Arabidopsis thaliana: one gene and its partner. The protein of the gene in region 1 interacts with the protein of each later gene in a biochemical or structural test. Each region holds a gene or a part of one and is shown on either strand. Other genes may lie near its edges. The genes, in order: SKB1 and AT1G07660.

Region 1 (7,420 bases):
CAAAATCAAAACTAAGCAACCTAACTAACCATATCTTCCGATTTCTCTTATCTCTCTGAAGCCACAAATCTCCAGATTCATTCGTCGTCTCGGTGAGTGTTTTTCTTTTACAGTTCGATTTTTCCGACTCTGTTCGTTGATTCGATTTTCAAATCTGATTTATGTTTTGGGGGAAATCGAATTTGATATCTGTGTGCTCTCGGATATATTATATAGGTTAAGGTTAGACGGAGAAGAAGATACAACAAATATGGCGGTTAGTATGAAACAAATGTCGTTGGTCGTCTCTGCTTTGGGCGTCTTATCCTTTGTTTTGGGAGTTATCGCCGAGAACAAGAAGGTACAAAAAAAAGTCGTCTCCTTTTGATTATTTCGTGAGAAAACTTTAAATTTCCTGTTTGTTTTCGATGATGATTTTTGTTCTTCTTCTTTGTGTTTATCTACTACTACCACATAAACAATTCCTGTTGCTTTTTGGCGCAAGTTAGTTTTTTTTTTGCACAGGAAATAATCACTCTGGAATTGTATGTATCAAACAGTGATCTAACTATGGATGAATCAATTGTTTTGATTTCCTGTTTCTTTAGGATGCTTTGGTTGTTATTTGTGCTATTCTCTGTGAATGGAGGATGTCAAATTTGTTTTAGTCACAGGACTATGACTCTGATATTGTGATATTGTTGGATTGTATGAAAAAATGTGATCTTCTCACAGCTTCATAATTGTATCTAATGATGGGAAACCAATGTGATCTTAACTGACCCGTAGCTAAATCTTACTCTTTCTACACAATTGTTTGACCTCATCATTGTCACTGATCTCTCTAGGATACCGTATGTCAAGAGCTTTTCATAAGTGGGTAAACCACTTCGGCTTTCTTATTCTTATGTGTTACTGATTGTGTGATTTGTTTCTGTTCTTTGTGTTTTCATCTTAGCCTGCGTCTGGGACTCCAATAAGTGGAAAAGGAGTAGTTATCTGCAAATACCCATCTGATCCAACTGTTGCCTTGGGATACCTTTCTGCTGCTTTTCTCCTTGCCTGCACTGTAGCAGGATACAAATCCTTGTTCATCTCTTACAAGGGAAAGTCTGTTCCTAACTCTGTCTTGTTCAAAAGCACCAGCTTCTCTGTGTTCTTCAACATTGCCTTGTAAGCATTTCCTCTTCTTTTCAAGAACACAGTAGCTAGACCATTACAAATATTCTTGGATTCCGGTATTATAAAGCCTAAAAATAGGAGTCTTTTTGTGACCTATGGTTATTGTCGTGTAGGATAACATCTGGACTGGCCTTGTCTCTGTTGCTCTGGCCAACCATTACAGAACAACTTCACTTGACCCGTAATGTTCACCGAAACTTAGAAACCAGTTGCCCCACGGCTAAGACCGGTCTGCTTGGTGGAGGTGCCTTTGTGTCTTTGGACTCGTGCCTTTTCTGGTTGGTTGCTCTGATGCTCGCTGATAACGCCCGTGAAGACCATTTTGATGAAGTTGAAAGCAGAAGCATCGATGGGAACTCTTCCTCCAGGGATGTGAATCTCAAGATTGATGCTTGAGAGAATGATATGCTTTTATTGGTATTGGGTATAAGAAGGGTTTTTCATTTGTTTTCTACTTGTTTGATTAGGAAAATAATAATTTGTTTCTTCTGTTGTTTTTTTTTTTTTTAATGATTGGCTAGAATGTTATGAAACCCATCTCTGCACCTTGATGCATTGTGATTCATAAGCTGTATCTGTGAAAAATAATCTTTTGGTTATATCTCTTACATTTGACATAATTGATATGAGAAAGCACTTCAAATCACACACTATATCAACATTTTTCTTTCTAAGAATATGTAAATATTCACTTGAATTCGGGTGGCTACTAGTAGTCTAGTACTACTATCACAAACCATAAGACTCTTTTATGTCAAAACCAATTAACATGTTTAGAGCCAATGGTTGGAGCTTGGGATGGCATAAATGGGCTAGGTATAGCATATCATAAAGCCCATTAGAAAAGCCCGATATAAACTACAGATCAGTAAAATTAAACCCTGTCAAAAACCCTTTCGTTTTCGTCGTCCGCTCGAGAAAAGAAGATTCACTTCCATCTGCAAATTCCTTCACTCCCTGTGAGCTCAATAGAGAGAGAAGAAGAGATGCCGCTCGGAGAGAGAGGAGGATGGGAGAGGACCGAGTCCAGATACTGCGGCGTTGAGACTGATTTCTCCAACGATGTTACTCATCTTCTCAACTTCAACATTTCCACCGGCGGTTTTGACTATGTTCTCGCTCCTCTGGTTTGTTTCCTTCTTCTTCCTCGACTCTCACGTCCTTGCCTGTTGTTACTGTATCAATTGGGATTTGAAATTTTATATCTTTGACGGAGTTTACTTCTTTCTCTTCCTGCAGGTGGATCCTTCGTATAGGCCGAGCTTGGTGGAAGGAAATGGTGTAGATACTCAGGTTCTTCCAGTCTGTGGCTCTGACTTAGTCTTGTCACCTTCTCAATGGAGCAGTCATGTTGTTGGTATGATTCTATTTGCTTCTCCACCGTGTGATTTTGTACTCGTTATGAATATGATGGGTTTTGATTTGAGTGGTAAATCTTCATTCTCTAGGAAAAATTAGTTCGTGGATTGACTTGGATTCTGAAGATGAGGTCTTACGGATGGATTCAGAAACCACATTGAAGCAAGAAATAGCTTGGGCTACTCATCTCTCCTTACAGGTGCTTGTGCATCTATGGATTTAACTCACTCTCTTTGTTTTCTTGCCTGCAAAGTGATTTTGAAGAGAAATTCTTTTGTTGCAGGCATGCCTTCTTCCCACTCCTAAAGGGAAATCGTGCGCCAATTATGCCAGATGTGTGAACCAGATCTTACAAGGCCTCACTACCTTGCAGGTGGTTTACGAGTTTCTTGCTGCCGGTCTAGCTTTATTTCAGATGAGACTTTTCTTTACAAGATCACCTTCAATCAAGCTCTAACATTTTGTGGATCTTCTTTGTTTTGTTTAAATGTCATTTCTGCGCTGAAGTTATGGCTAAGGGTTCCACTGGTGAAGTCTGAAGGTGATTCAATGGATGATACCTCAGAGGGACTGGTAAGACATTGGATCAAATTTTATGCAAACTTAAGATTGTTAGTACTTTTTGTGCCTTCTCAGATTTTTAAGGGACTCTCTAATGCGGATCCCTTGGAATCACTTGATGTGGCTGCCTTTTAAACCTAGAAATACAAATAAATGTCCCTATCTGTTCACGTTTTTGTACACTTTGTGTGAGGATTACTTTAATATATACTCTCTTCTATGCAGAATGATTCCTGGGAGCTGTGGAATTCGTTTCGTCTTCTTTGTGAGCATGACAGTAAGCTGTCTGTTGCTCTTGATGTTCTGTGAGTTGAGAGAAACTCTTGATTATTGTTGTTAATGTGGACCCAAAGTTTTTTTTCCACTCTACTAACATAACACCATTTTCTTCATATAGGAGTACACTACCCTCTGAAACTTCACTAGGGCGCTGGATGGGAGAGTCTGTGAGAGCAGCCATATTAAGCACTGATGTAAGTGCCTGACTTCTTGCCGCATTATTATAAACTCCACTTTGAAGTATTGCGAATCACAAAATGCCTCTAATTTGGCGTTGCAGGCTTTCTTAACAAATGCTCGGGGTTATCCTTGCTTGTCCAAACGCCACCAAAAGTTAATAGCAGGATTTTTTGATCATGCTGCCCAGGTAACAAACATCCCACTCTTTGTGATATAGAAATAAATTAAAATCTTCTTTTGACTCACAAAAGAGATCTATTAGACTCGATCTGGTGCTCATTATCATCAATCTTGTAAATGCAGGTTGTAATTTGTGGAAAGCCTGTTCATAATCTTCAAAAGCCTCTTGATTCTAGCTCGGAGGGTAATTTTTCTGTATAATCTTTTGTCCTCTGAAAATTAGCTATTATCCTCTGGGCTTGTTTTCCGTAGCTCAATTTATCACGGGCATTGTTATAATCATAGTTGATTCCAAGTTTTGAGCTAAATATTTTATTACGGGCATTGTTTGTCAGGTACAGAGAAGAATCCTCTGCGCATATATTTGGACTATGTTGCTTATCTGTTCCAAAAGATGGAATCACTTTCTGAACAGGAACGCATCGAGGTCGTTTTTTGCATCCTTTTGCCTCAGTCCTTCTATGTTTTTTATCACTAGATGCAAGCTGGCAGATACAACTCTATTCTGACAGTTATCTAAATCTTACTCTTTGTACAGCTGGGTTACAGGGATTTTTTGCAGGCACCCCTGCAGGTTAGCCTCTTTTCATAAGCAATTCTGATTTCTGTCCGTTCATCATGATAATTTACCCTGTATGAAAATGCTCTATTCTTACTGTAAAGAGCCTCTACTGTTTTTTTTTTAATGAATACAGCCTCTTATGGACAACCTCGAAGCCCAAACCTATGAGACGTTTGAGAGAGACTCTGTTAAATACATCCAAGTATGTTGCATATTCTAGTTTTTTCCCCTCACATCTTAAATTTTAACTCCTTTGGTTTCTAGATTTCCCCTCGTCTATTTCTGCTTCGGTTTGCAGAGGAGAGTGGACTGATGGATGAATCATGTTGAACAATTTAATATCATAGCCTGGTTTTTTTTTAAAGCATGCTTAACTTTCGTCCATCTTTGTGTTGTTAGTATCAAAGAGCAGTTGAGAAAGCCTTGGTGGACAGGGTACCTGATGAAAAAGCATCCGAGTTGACTACTGTATGTCATATGTCAATGTTTTGCTTACAAAGTGGCATTTTCATTTATAAGTTTTTTTTCTGCTATTCATATGAAATACTTCAGTAGGACTGAAATTTTAGTTTTTAGGTCCTGATGGTTGTGGGGGCAGGAAGGGGACCCCTTGTGAGGGCATCGTTACAGGTAAAGTCCTGATGCACAAGGAGACATTGAAAATTCATTTGTTTCATTAATCAAATGTGTTCATTGTTTCCTTTACCAGGCAGCTGAAGAAACTGATCGGAAGTTGAAAGTTTATGCCGTGGAAAAGAATCCTAATGCCGTTGTAACACTCCATGTGAGTTGTCAGCACTGAGTCGATTAAAAAATTGCTAATTTTCCTGTGATTTCATTCGGACGTGCAGTGTGGTTTCTAATTAACTCAGAGCATTGTTATTTTTTCTGATAGAATTTGGTTAAGATGGAAGGATGGGAAGACGTTGTTACGATAATATCCTGTGACATGCGTTTTTGGAATGCTCCCGAGCAAGCTGATATATTGGTCAGTATGTACAGATTTTTGTAGCTAATACTCATGCTGACATTATATACAGTTCATCTAATTCTCGTTTGCCTCTTCTATGCAGGTTAGCGAACTGCTGGGTTCTTTTGGAGACAATGAACTTTCTCCTGAGTGTCTTGATGGAGCCCAAAGGTTTCTGAAGCCAGACGGAATTTCAATACCATCCTCGTATGTGTACTCCTTCGCTTAGTTGAAATTTCATAAGAAACTCATCTGTCCTTTTGTTTCTCTAACTGGAGGAGGAACATCGTTATTACTTTTTCAGGTATACAAGTTTCATACAGCCTATAACAGCTTCGAAGCTTTACAATGACGTAGGTTCTTCTGCTTTTTGCTATGTACTCGCAAGAGTTTTCAGATTAACTCAAGTTCTTTTTCATCCATTTGGCAGGTTAAGGCTCATAAAGATCTTGCGCACTTTGAAACTGCTTATGTTGTCAAGCTGCATAGTGTAGCAAAGCTTGCTCCTTCCCAGTCTGTGAGTCTCTCTCTGTCTCCAGCATTTTCTAATAGCTTAAAGTGTTCTCTTTAAATACATTTATGCAAGTCTTGTCGATCTGACCATCTCAGGATTTTTGGTTTGGTCTTAAATAGGTTTTCACATTTACTCATCCAAACTTCTCAACGAAAGTCAACAACCAACGCTATAAGAAGCTTCAGTTCAGTCTACCAAGCGATGCTGGCTCAGCTTTGGTGCATGGTACCTGCTTTTTTCTAGCCCTTTTTTGTTTGTTAATGTCAATTTTACATCTCCATTTCCGTAATCTGAAACTGAATCTACTGCGATCATAATAGGATTCGCTGGCTATTTTGATTCCGTCCTTTATAAAGATGTTCATCTTGGGATCGAGCCTACAACAGCAACACCAAACATGTTCAGCTGGTAATGGATTAATGTCTATAAATGTTTTAAAACAGAGCTTTCTTCTATCGAACCTCTTACTTCAACCGAGAGAAAATCGTGTTCCTTTTGGCAGGTTCCCAATCTTTTTCCCATTGAGGAAGCCTGTGGAGGTTCACCCTGATACTCCATTAGAAGTACACTTTTGGAGGTGTTGTGGTTCCTCAAAGGTAAAAAAAGTTGAAACCACAAGATTCCATACAACTAACTCTTTGTCTAAAGAACTATTATTGATCCTCTGATTTTCGGGTTCAGGTTTGGTATGAATGGTCGGTGTCTTCACCTACTCCATCTCCGATGCATAACACCAATGGCCGTTCGTACTGGGTTGGCCTTTAGGATTAGAGACTTTTGACTGATGACGAAAAAGTTATGTAATCTTATTGTGCTGTATTTTTGTCACAAGAAAGACTAAAGTTTACGAGTGAATCAAATCTCTCTTGACCTTATTTATGTTTGTACTTTTTCAGTAATTTCATTGCACTTTTAATACAAAGCTATCTCTTTCATCTCAAAAGGCCAAAGTATACAAGTGAATCAAATCTATTTTGTTCATTTAATTGTTTGTACTTTTTGCAGTAATTCAGAGCTATCTCTAATACACGCTGTAATCTCAAACGGCCAAAACGACCCAACAAATCCTGCCTCGGCCGTTTGACAAAACATTGGTAATAGATTAAGAAGTTGCGTTTAAGGAGTTCCGTTGCTGTTTTTTAATCCATTCGTCGTAATCTTTAAGTAATTGCTGAAGCAGAAGGGGAACCAGTGTATCGACCAGTGTCTGCATTACTCTGCAATCATCGTATCAAAATATAACATTACTCGGGCACTTCGAGCCAAGAAGCAGAAGAAATGTAAAACGAACAATAATGTACACTTACAGATTCCCAGGAGCCTCAACAGCTGATACTGGAAGCATTGTGAACGGTCGCGTTGAGATCTGCCATGAACAAGGGGGATTTTGATGAACATAGGAAACAAAGCTTTTTCATATACACAAAACCGAAATGAGAATCATAAGTCGACATGACCTATCCACACAATGATGGATCACAGACAACCATCACGGTACAGTGCAGTATTTGATACTCTTAAGGCTAATAGGATTGCACGAGAATGAAGTTATGAAGGAATGAAAGAAACTGAACTGCAATACACTACCTCTAGAGTGACATTCAATCTCACGTCAACTTCCAAAAATGGCTCTGGATGTTCCATGTTCCAAGTC
Region 2 (3,517 bases), on another chromosome or scaffold:
AAGATACAAATATTTCTGTATTATATTAAGAAATAGGAAGTAAAGAATTTTAAATATTAAACAAGTTTCTTATCTTATGTTCAATGTTTTATACTAAGTGTCAGCAATTCCTAAAATTATTTAGCCGGCAAACAATGAAAAGTAGTATATATATGATACCTTCCTCCTAAAATAATTATAAAAATATTTTCAGCGGATAATCGAGTCTCATCAATTATTGTTGATAAGTTCTATTTGACAAAAATCAAGAATCAATTATTGTTATAAAACAAACAATTGATTTGGGTTTCAAAGACCACATACGACAGATCTTTACATTATTGGTTTAGCTACTTTGATAGACAGCCAGTCGTATTAATTTGGAAAGCCAAAGTACTCACAAACATACGAAACTACGACTACGACAAAAGATAAAAAGAAAAAAGGTAAAAGGAACTTTACACTCTCTTTCGTTTGTTATTTTGTTGGGTCGCGGAATCATTTGATAAATGTTTAAGATAACTAGGATAGGAGAAAAATCCAACTATTATGATTTTGATCATAACATCGTTTCCTACTTTGTGTAACGATACTAACAAAGAAAAAACGAATTGAGAGAGGGGAGTGTGGGGACTAGGCTGGACACTTTGTATATCTTTTTACTTTACATGTTGCTTTAAGTAAATATATTCATCAAGACATCAACCATAATTAACAAAGGTACCAAAGTATCTTGTAATATTTATTCATATGTATATAGACTAGTTAATGATCATATTTTACGAGTCTTTATTTTGAATTCACTTAACGTGGCTTCCGATGCGTACAACAATGCCGTCAATGTCTCGCACGTATCCAACCTTCTGCCCCCATTCTTTATCTTCCGGCTTGCTCACTGCCTCCGCACCGTTCTCCACCGCTCTCTGCACAACGCAGCATCTCACTGGTTTATCAACACGTACGAATTGAAGAGTAACAGGCAAATATAGACATAAGTATATAATAATTGATTTCTACCTTGAAAGCGGCATCAACATCAGGGTAACAGAAGCAGACTTCGATGGGTGCTCTTTCACGTGCTGACTGCGTAGCCTGAACCTTCCCGGTTAGGTCGTCGGTCTCATGCTGGTGAAGCGGTGTGAACGCTATCGTGGTTTGCCCGCTCTCTAGCTCCCCCCACCTGTATGTATCAGTTTCTTTCATTCATCAAACATATATATTTGGTGTGTTTGCTTAGCATGTTAGCCAGCGGATCGGACCTGATTATAGGACATCGCACCAATAGAATCTCAAACCCGAGAGTTTTGTTTCATGACCTAATACGATTCTGTCGTTTACATTCCTATGATCGTATCCAACAACACCTAAGACAATCCAACGTAGAGAATAGTAACAATTCATAATACAAACCTGTGGGATTCGTCAAGACGACGGACGTTGTGACCAAAAGCTCTAGAGTAGAATTCTACAGATTTAGCTACGTCCTTCACGTACACAACAGTGTAAGCAAACGCCGGTCTCATCATATTAGCTGCCATTTTTTCCCAGTCTTATGATTCTGATTTCGATCCGATGAAATCCTTGGAAATGCTCATCATCAAACCTCACATAGGATCTCTCTTTACGGTGAGCTCAACACGTGGTCGACAACATGCACCTTCGTGTGTAGGGTACTTGCTGCCACGTGAGCTTTTTGCTCCCTTTTTTGGGTCAATTTGGGCCTACTACTCACATATGGGCCTTTAGATTAGAAAAAAGTCTTGGGTTATCTGTTATGTTGGAGGCTTTTTTTAGTTGTTTAATGGAGTTTACACAGAGAATGACGAAAAGTCGAAAGCCATCTACTACCGTTGATCTTTAAGAACCAACGATCCATATTCTTCTTACAGATTTCACGCGGATCGCAATCTTGGACCGTTGAAAGAAGATGAATCGTTACGGCCGAAAATATATGTCCTGGGTAGTCACTTCCTTTATAAAATGTTAATCCCACCACTTTTTTTTTTTTTTTTTTTTTTTTTGTCAAAACACAACTTTCATTCATTAAGGCCTCAAAGCCTCAAGAGAGGAAAGTTGATACAAGCTACGATAATACAACAGAAAGAAAGATACAAGTTAATCCCACCACTTTGTACTCGAAGTAACATACTTTTTACAATCACATTTTTGAAGAACTTTCATTCCATAAATCTACAGGTAATTCATATATTTCTGCCTTGCTTAGGCGTAGATTTCAATTTAATGTTAGCTTAATTTCTTCAAAGTTTTTCTCGATTTGTCACATTTTCGAAGAGTTTAAATGTTTCGATTCTCAATTCAATTGATTGATCTGGAAATCTAGGGTTTCTGAATAGTTTCCTTCTGTTATTTTTCACAGATCTTTGTGTATCAAGTAAAGAGATGTCAGGAAGAGGAAAGGGAGGAAAAGGATTGGGAAAGGGAGGAGCGAAGAGGCACAGGAAGGTTCTGAGGGATAACATTCAAGGAATCACCAAGCCTGCTATTCGTCGTCTTGCTCGTAGAGGTGGTGTCAAGCGTATCAGTGGTCTCATCTACGAAGAGACCAGAGGTGTCCTCAAGATCTTCCTCGAGAATGTTATCCGTGACGCCGTTACCTACACTGAGCACGCCAGGAGGAAGACGGTGACCGCCATGGATGTTGTCTACGCTTTGAAGAGGCAAGGTCGTACTCTCTACGGTTTCGGAGGTTAATCCGATTTGGGGGATTAGGGTTTATGCAAGTTTGGGGATTTCTTCTTGTTTCTGAGATCCGTGTTAAATGGTTTGAATTAGTCAAAAGTAAATTCAGGAGTTAGTTTTTGTTTCTCGTTTTTCGTTGTTATTAGCCAATGTGATGTAGTAGTTAATTATCTTTTGCAAGCTTTGTGCTAAGAAAATCTAATGAGAATTATCCATTTGCTTGATTTCTTTGTCTCCTCATCTCTTAGGATAGACACTAAACAAATGGTTGTTGAAAGCAATCAAATCTAGTTCACCATCTTATGAGATCATTCATATGAGGCAGCGGTAATTTCTCTCAAGCTTTGATTAGGCTTTTAGCAACGACGCTAGCATTGCTAAACTACAGTCAAATTTGATATGGGTTCATTTTGAGAGGTGTTTTTAAGGTATAGACTTAGCAGTCATTAATATTGCAGAAATGTGTCCAGGAGTGCAAGCAGAGAATACGTATTTCTCTCACAGGATAAAGAGATTGAATCTCTGATCTCTTAAGGTTGTGCCCAAAATAAATTACCATCAGTCTTAAAAACCAATTTGGTCGACCATAAAAGTTTACATAAAGAATCAAGGTTTGGTTGAAACATTCATCTTTCTATCACGGGCTGTGTCCATGAACCAAAGTTAGAAACTTTTCTTTTTCAAACCAAAAATTATCGTTTGGAGAATTAAATATAGCAAGGATGAGTAAAGCAACAAAGTTAATTTCAGCTAAAACTAAGAGTCTAATAATAATGCCTTTTGAATTATTTTCTTACTCCTCCTTTTGCTTAGCTGAGGGAGTGCGAGGTGAGTAGCG

Evidence for each region.
Region 2: of the proteins of SKB1 (region 1) and AT1G07660, one has a biochemical effect on the other in vitro, tested with the Arabidopsis thaliana proteins (one study listed by BioGRID).

Annotation. Positions count from the first base shown.
Region 1 is NC_003075.7:15,131,296-15,138,715, reverse strand, and holds SKB1 (SHK1 binding protein 1), read left to right. Parts: upstream 1-2,019; 5' UTR 2,020-2,147; coding exon 2,148-2,288; intron 2,289-2,400; coding exon 2,401-2,518; intron 2,519-2,609; coding exon 2,610-2,719; intron 2,720-2,803; coding exon 2,804-2,893; intron 2,894-3,027; coding exon 3,028-3,093; intron 3,094-3,306; coding exon 3,307-3,386; intron 3,387-3,478; coding exon 3,479-3,554; intron 3,555-3,640; coding exon 3,641-3,727; intron 3,728-3,843; coding exon 3,844-3,904; intron 3,905-4,055; coding exon 4,056-4,147; intron 4,148-4,258; coding exon 4,259-4,294; intron 4,295-4,415; coding exon 4,416-4,484; intron 4,485-4,681; coding exon 4,682-4,750; intron 4,751-4,858; coding exon 4,859-4,912; intron 4,913-4,991; coding exon 4,992-5,066; intron 5,067-5,177; coding exon 5,178-5,270; intron 5,271-5,355; coding exon 5,356-5,459; intron 5,460-5,556; coding exon 5,557-5,605; intron 5,606-5,682; coding exon 5,683-5,769; intron 5,770-5,885; and 10 more. Other genes in the region: AT4G31130 (keratin-associated protein (DUF1218)), read left to right, coding at 251-340, 938-1,152, 1,275-1,557; AT4G31115 (DUF1997 family protein, putative (DUF1997)), read right to left, coding at 6,869-6,983, 7,074-7,132, 7,354-7,420.
Region 2 is NC_003070.9:2,366,833-2,370,349, forward strand, and holds AT1G07660 (Histone superfamily protein), read left to right. Parts: upstream 1-2,000; 5' UTR 2,001-2,175; intron 2,176-2,356; 5' UTR 2,357-2,379; coding exon 2,380-2,691; 3' UTR 2,692-2,903; downstream 2,904-3,517. Other genes in the region: DSI-1VOC (dessication-induced 1VOC superfamily protein), read right to left, coding at 780-902, 997-1,159, 1,390-1,517; ECA4 (endomembrane-type CA-ATPase 4), read right to left, coding at 3,473-3,517. UniProt on the Arabidopsis thaliana protein: Core component of nucleosome. Nucleosomes wrap and compact DNA into chromatin, limiting DNA accessibility to the cellular machineries which require DNA as a template.